2 linked regions of the Daphnia pulex genome follow. The protein of the gene in region 1 interacts with the protein of each later gene in a biochemical or structural test. Links are inferred from orthologs where the notes say so. Each region holds a gene or a part of one and is shown on either strand. Other genes may lie near its edges. The genes, in order: serine/threonine-protein kinase VRK1-like and barrier-to-autointegration factor-like.

The links.
Region 2: of the proteins of serine/threonine-protein kinase VRK1-like (region 1) and barrier-to-autointegration factor-like, one has a biochemical effect on the other in vitro, tested with the Caenorhabditis elegans proteins (2 studies listed by BioGRID). The link is inferred for Daphnia pulex from reciprocal best matches to the Caenorhabditis elegans genes vrk-1 and baf-1.

The regions. Positions count from the first base shown.
Region 1 is NC_060018.1:12,622,764-12,627,196, reverse strand, and holds the start of serine/threonine-protein kinase VRK1-like, read right to left. Parts: upstream 2,963-4,433; 5' UTR 2,854-2,962; exon of another isoform or gene 2,824-2,853; intron 2,748-2,823; 5' UTR 2,614-2,747; coding exon 2,445-2,613; intron 2,377-2,444; coding exon 2,318-2,376; intron 2,250-2,317; coding exon 2,180-2,249; intron 2,115-2,179; coding exon 1,689-2,114; intron 1,629-1,688; coding exon 1,449-1,628; intron 1,382-1,448; coding exon 1,075-1,381; intron 1,019-1,074; coding exon 755-1,018; intron 653-754; coding exon 204-652; intron 139-203; coding exon 1-138. UniProt on the Caenorhabditis elegans protein: Serine/threonine kinase that phosphorylates baf-1, thus regulating the association of baf-1 with chromatin and nuclear membrane proteins during nuclear envelope formation. May act through the egl-17 signaling pathway.
Region 2 is NC_060020.1:3,950,600-3,953,756, reverse strand, and holds barrier-to-autointegration factor-like, read left to right. Parts: upstream 1-1,342; 5' UTR 1,343-1,496; intron 1,497-1,806; 5' UTR 1,807-1,807; coding exon 1,808-1,933; intron 1,934-2,014; coding exon 2,015-2,161; 3' UTR 2,162-2,426; downstream 2,427-3,157. Other genes in the region: uncharacterized protein LOC124192967, read right to left, coding at 1-118, 190-292, 353-729, 795-911. UniProt on the Caenorhabditis elegans protein: DNA-binding protein which plays an essential role in nuclear envelope formation. Required for normal chromosome segregation during mitosis. Associates with the nuclear lamina via its interaction with LEM domain containing proteins emr-1 and lem-2.

The sequences.
Region 1 (4,433 bases):
AGAGTCTCCCCGGAGTGCTTGCTGGAGATTGAGCAGCCGACCTAAGCGAATAAGGCCTCCGTTCAAGAGTTGGTAGACTTAAAACGCCGGGTGACGTTTGCGTAGACGCAGAAGCCATGTCGACCACTCTGTACTTGTCTAAAAAAAACAGAAATAATCAACTCGTTTTAAATGAATAACTCAAATTTTAAGGATTCAATTACGTCTGTGGACAACTCGGCGTTTGTTATCGGGTGTGGTGGACGACGACGATTCACCAGCGGTGCTGGAATTGACGGACGATGATGTGGAATCGTCCAAAATCACAGATTCGTGAAGTCGATTTCTCAGAACACGTTTAGAAGGAGAGGATGGAGTCACGAAGCCCTTGCCACTGCCGTTGCTCTTCTTCCGTCGAGGCTCCTCCTCTTCTTCCGGCGTACAATCCATGGTCATGTACAGGTCCATGTTTCGTGGCGTCAAAGTCGGACTCTGGAAAGGGTTGATGGGAGTCGGGTTGGTGGTAGTCATCGGACTGCAGATGGGCGTGAAAAAATGTCCACTCTGTTCCATACTTTTACGCACTTCTCTCACGCGGATGACTTCTTCCATGGCGGGAGTCAGGATCGAGCTGGAATCGAGATCGATTGGGCTACACGAACGGCTGTCCAACCTTTTTAGTAAATTTTAAAATGCCAAAGTAAATTATCAATGAATCGTTTATTTAAGTACAAGTACAAAATTGTTTAAAGGAAAACCCTTCAATTATTCAAACCTGGCTTGTTTCCTTTTCGATGGAAGGGCCGGTGAAGGTGTTTCCTCTTTGCTACGCATCCGGGCCAAAATGGCCAGCATAGCCGGGGTGGGATTGCTAAGCGACGTGTCTAATTTAGCCGACAATTCTTTGGAACGCTCCTTCTTCTCAGCCGATCTCTTTTTAGAGACTACAGCCAATGTCGTACTGCTGAGACTGCTGGAATCTGTCGTATCACAATCTGGCGACATATTGGCCCGTCTCGTCGTCCTACGAGTTGAACAACTAAATGAAATTAGTATACACATAGTAAAAATGAATAAGTATTAAATTGACATTACCGGTTGGTGACTTTGGGTGAGCAAGGCTCTCGACTCTTTTTAATACTGGTTTTGGCCTTTTGCTTGACATTTCCGTTTTCCGTTTCGTCATCGGTTGGCACCGGCGGTGGAGCCGAGCGTTTCTTGGGTGAACTACGCACGCTGCTGCTACCCGCTCCTTTGTTGAGATGAGGGAATACGAGCGCCCCGTCGTCAGGGAAACCGCCATCCTTCAAGCCTTGCCGAAGTAATTGCCTGAACTTGTCATAGTTGGGCATCTCCTCGAACTTTAGATTCGCCACCATTTCCAGGAACTTCACCATGACGGCTGTTTTTTGTTTTTGAAAAAAAGAAATTAAGTTACGAAGATGAAAACACAATCGATTTCTAGTTACCAGGGGCGTTCTTGGCTGGAAAACATTCCTGGATGAGAGCCGGGATGTTGGACATGTACTTGTTCTTTTGACTGGCAACAAACTCTGGATCCGTCAAATTACTTTCCCACGGAAGTCTCCCACACATCCATTGAAGCATGTTGTAGCCAAGAATTTCAAAGTCACCACGACGTCCATTGGCTGGAAACAAAAAAGAATGTTTACCAAAAAACTATAATTATTTTGAAGCAAATTATGTACCTCCAATGTGAGCGTCACGACTGGTGAACTCGATAGTTCCATTATGAGCTTTCCTCAAGTCCGGCTTGTACTCTTTATGGACACCATCGACCGTGTAGCGACAAGCAAGTCCAAAATCGACGAGCCACACTTGCTTCTCACCACCTTTGCCGAATCCCAACAACAAGTTGGAGCCTTTAATGTCGGCGTGGACGTACTGTTTGGCGTGGATATATTCCAATACGTCAATAATTCTCAGCGACAAGTTGAGAATCGTGTTGAGAGGGAAACGACGCTGGTTGGCATCGAAGAGTTTCTGGACATCGATGCCGAATCGCTGCATGACCATGAAACGATACTTTTCACCTTTGTATTCGTGCGAGCCAGATCCGATGAATCGGGGCATACCCAGGAATTTGAGTTTATTAGAAGTGATCCACTCATTAACTAATGACAAAGAAATAATAGCTCATTGATAACGAAAAAGCTTCAGAATGTTGTTGACAACTTACTGAAATCTGCTTTAGCTACCCGAATGTAAAAATTCATTTCCACAAATAACGGACCATTGGAATGAGGTTCCTGTGAAATAGTCAAAAGTGTCAATCCAAACAAACATCTTGAATAATAGATGAAGAATCTTGTCTTACAATTTTGATCACATATTGTGCATCGGCTGCGTTTACTTGTTTATCAATATTGTCAGACGCTGAAAAAGAAGAAAAAAAATGTTGATTTAGATGATGTTTCATTTAACTCAGAACAGACTGAATATACCTGCATAAATTTCTCCAAACCCCCCGACACCAATGGATTTGCCGAGCCTCCACTGTCTCTTCTGGATATCACGAACAATTTCTCCATCCCTGATTGGGTCTGGGAGTTTATGTATTGGAGCCTTTTTCTTGGCAGCAGCAGGCCGAGAGGCTGCAGCTTTGGGAGGCATTGTTTTAGTTGAAATAACTCTGAAAATTAAAAACCGTCAACGTATCCAGGACATTGATACACCCACAAGTCGGTATATATATTCTTCGATGTCAGTAAATCACAAGGCCAAAACAATCGTCTGTTCCCTTGCACCTAGCAACAACAGTTTGTCAACTTGAAAAGTGTTCATTCACCACTCAATTGCCAGTCGAAATTGACGAGAAATTACTTAATAATCAGAATGTAAGGATTAACTTACAATGAGCCGTCAGTTGATCTTTATAACGGCCGGCGGTTATTTTTCGTCTATTTTGAACTGGTATCCGCCATTTTAATTGTTTGCCTTGCGGCATTGCCGTTTACGGTCGAGGTGGCGCTTTCTTTTCCCAAACAAAAACGATTTTTAAAAATAAATAATGCATGCATAATATAAAACCTTGTTTGTTCTTTTTCCAACCAAATCGAATTAAATTTCGATCAAAAAAGAAAACCCAATTCGGTGATGGCCATTAACGATTTGATTGAAAACGAACGTGGGCGGAGCGACATCTCTCGTGCGCGCCGTCTAAAAAGCCCAGCACACATTTGTATGCTAATTAGAAGCGCTCGAGTCTCTCTAGCTGTATATAGCGGCGAAGCCTATTAACGTCTCAAACACATTTCAGATGTGTTGTTTATGTCAGGAAAGTGCATGTGTGTGTGTGCTGACGCAGTTTCCTGTTATTTTTATACTACACGTCCCCCGTGGGTTCCCGTTTTTTCTCTTATCGGCCAATAATTTATGGCCTTAAACGACCGACGTCAGCCGGGCCAATCGAATCAATGCAGCAGCGCCTAATAAATATTACAAAAAAGCCTTTTTCTTCTATCTATCATGATTAACTTTTTTCCCCAGTATCGGGGGAGAGTAGGCTTGTATAAATCGTCTATTATAATGATGACAATGGGTTGTTGTTGGTGGTGGAGAGAGAGTTGATTTTCATTCAAGGGGTGGAAAATGATGACTAATACTCTCTGGTCAAATCATAAATCAATCGAATCCAGATGTTGACCTTAAAATATAATCCCAAAGGATTTTTTTTAAAAAAACATAAATTTTTATTTTTCATTGGCTCCTGGGAATTGAACTCATCCGGAATTGTAAATGTCAATCGAAAAAATAAAATTCTGGTCTCTGGTAAAAAGATTAAAACTAATACACCTTCGCAGAGTAAGTAGAAAGTTAAGCGGATCGACAGATGAATATCGGCGCAACAAGAGAGTCTCTGGGAAATCAGAGCCGCTGCTGCTGCTGCTTTGCTCCGGATGACGCATCGATGGCGTCCGTTACTCATCGACAAAGAGCTGACGTCACAGACACAACGACGAAAAAATCGGGAGGGGAATAAATATTTGACAGACAGCTGAAGAGACTTTCGTGCTGCTAGGGGGGAGAAACTTGCTGATTAGTCACCTATTGAGGTTTCAACAATAGGCCACGTGATCGATTTCCCCCTCTCACCCTTCCAGCTTCCGTTTCCTGAGTCATGTTCATCCGTCTTAACGGCTTTTAGAGAGTCCGTCCCTTCAGCGTCTATGACACGGTTTCACGCTCTCTTAATTGAATTAGCATCTCTACACAGTCGTCTGTTTCAACCATGTTGTATCAGGTGATGTGCCAGTGTAGTAACTCGAGTCGGAATTTATTTTTCCATCCTACACCCGATATTATAATACCCAAATAATGATAAGGGTATAGAGAATCCCCCCCTAGTAGCCCTTATCTCTCTCTGTGTGAGTGTGGAAGCCATTGTTCCAGATTTTCAGTCAGAGCGCTCGCACATAATAGTAGTAACGGTG
Region 2 (3,157 bases), on another chromosome or scaffold:
GATCGTTTCGGGATGAAGCAGTAATATTAACTGGCATCAGTGTTGGTGCCATCACTATAGAAATATTGCTAGCATCCATAAGATTCTTTGATGAATTAGAAGCTACAGCTTCAAAAAACTACTCAGAAATAAAAATAAAATAGTTTAGTCAAGATCTATTGTTTAGTTTACACTGAAAACATTTCATACCTGCAATAAGTAGCATAGTGTAGCCAAAGCTTGCTGTGGAATAAGCAAGCATGTCAAGTGAAGCATTTGTGAAGCTTTTTCTAAGCTTTCCATCTGAACACATCTACAAAAGAATAAGTTATTTGATTGGTTCTACAAGTGCTATAAAAGTAACTTAACATACTTGAGTAAAACATCATGCAGTTGATAAGGAATCAATGGATCTGGAAGCTCTCTTAGGAACTGCTTCAAAATGTTGGCCAAATCTATTACATCATGACTGGATTTGAACTCTTCTTTTCTCTCCAACTGACGCTTTATTTCACGCTGCCTGCAAGCAGATCCAGCTTTCCTAAACAAGCCTTCGGTATGGACACCCTTCAAAATTGCTTGGCAAGATTGCACAACAAATGTGGGAACTTGTACTAAAATATCTCCTTTAGCACACACTGGTTTAGATCCATCTGAGCTATTTCCTAATTCTGATTCAACCATGATAAGAACTTGTTCACACTCCAGCAATTCCAATGGCTGACAAAACAGAGTTTTCTTCTGTGGATCCTAAAATTAGAGAAAAATCATTTTTATAAAAGAAATCTGTGTCACAATATAATATTGATAAATACATTGTTTCTTGTTGGTTTCCTCCATCTACCAGTCTCTTTGATTCCATGTTTCTTTAACTCTGACCAAACTAACGCGTTAAAAGTAATATTGTCTTCTACATTGAAAATGTGATGCATGATGGATCACTTAGCTTTCTTACAACCCAATCCTACGTGTTTTCAACATGCAATATGTAGAAAACGGTTTACAACTGCCCGGGAAATATCACGAATTGCCTACGTACTCGACCTAAGTTCACTTTACTGCACAAAAGCAGCAAAAGTTTTTTATCTCTTTTTTTGTCGTTTTCAAAATGCGTATTTTAAACCAATCAAATGACGTTTAAAGATTAGACCACGCCTAGACCTGACGATGCCAAATTCTTTTAACTTTACTAGGCCTAGGGTGCGCAGCGCTTAGTATTTAGAAGTGTAAAAAGTACATTTTTAAAAATTTAAATTCAGTTACAATTTTTAATACTGAATAATAATTATTCAATTTATTTTATAGCTTTGATTTGCTTAATTTTTGGATATATAAATTTGATAGGTGTTTGGCATCAATGTTCTACTGACTTTCCTAAAAAGGAATTTGAATAGAGTCTGCAGCTGCAACCCAACAAGCGTTGTCTAACGTCACGCAGAGTTAGAAAACTGAAATCAATTTCTTCCTTGTCCATTCCATTTAGTCCTGATTTAGTCATTTTGACAATTTCTTCAGAGGTAATTTTAATTAACAATTGATATCCATTCTGTCAAATTCTATTCTTGTAAAGCTAGTGAAAGTGTCCTCCTGTTTCTGGGCAACGCACACCTAAGACAGAATAACGGTTTTACCATTCTTCATTTCTTGGCTTGAATGAAATGTTCATATTTTACATTTGAATAACATCTACGAATTTCCCCAAAAATCGTGTATTGTAGTGTTGATTCTTGGTGTGCCTTCCAAAGAATGTTGTTATAAACTAGATTTGCTAGTGATTCTTTGTCAGTTCTTCAATGCCAAGAGTGACATTTTTATTTTGAATTGCAGAATGTCGTCCACCTCACAGAAGCATCGTAACTTTGTAGCTGAGCCTATGGGAGAAAAAGCTGTTACAGATCTTGCTGGTATTGGAGGAGTGCTAGGAGATCGTTTAGAAAAGAAAGGCTTTGATAAGGTAAAAAAAAATAAATTACACTCTCTCAATACCAGCAAATCAATATAATTCAATTTAATAAAATCCATTTAACATATGCAGGCATCTGTTGTATTGGGACAATTCCTGGTCTTAAAGAAGAACAAAGAGCTTTTCGTGGATTGGCTCAAAGACACAGCTGGAGCCAACGCCAAACAAGCAGGAGATTGTCACCAATGTTTGTCAGATTGGTGTGATGAGTTTTTGTAATCTTTTACCATTGATGTTGATCGGGTGTTCTGCTATCAGTCTCAATTCACCACCACCTATCGTAAATACTTCCAGCACACACAGCATACTCTTAAAACTTTTAATACCTGCTCGCCGCTGCCTTGGTGGAAGGGCACTGCATCGTATATATTTTAATTACGCATGTATGTATGTCCCTATGAAATTAACATACAAGTTATATTCTGGAAAACCAGCCATTAGTGGTTCTTCTAAATAAAAATCAAAATATAATTAGTTCAATGTGTATTTTTTTTTCAATCAGACAATGTTTGAAATTGAGTTTTTTTGTGGGAATAGGGGAAGGTGGGGAATAGGGATCTTTCACGCACACTAAGTCGGGGCCCTAATAATAGACTTTTTGTTGTTCGAATCGTAGATTACATTGAGAGAACATGGTTGCAGCAGCAAGAATAGCAAAATCTACCCAACTGATATCGTCACACATTTATCCACTTGTATTTCTTTTTTTGTATTTTTCACTTGACTTCTTTTCTTCCACTTGTTCCTTCTCTTCAGTCAACGATTAGTAGGCGATGACAATTCGACGCACCCAAAGGGAAAAACCGAACGTCTTCTTTCATTCATACTTACCAAGTAGTTTTTCCTAGTCTCGTAATAATAACTACAGTTGGAAAGGGACAAGACGGGAGGGGATTCAAATTTAAAAAGAACGCACGGCAAGCAACAAGGACGTTTGTTATGTGGGAGGAGGTGGGTGTAAAACATTATCAGTAATTTCCGGAATAAAACTTTTCCCGACTGATTTTTCACAGACATGCACGAGAACCCAAACTCTTGACATTTTTTAAAAACAAACAATAAGATTTCCAAACGCCACATTGAAGCCAACCAGAGAAAGGGAGCTAACAATATTACACGAGACAAACGCTTTTTTTTTTCTTCATTAATCAATTTGCCTTGAAAGTTGTTCTGAGTCACTGAATAGGATCTGATCTAGGATATCCCCACAGAATC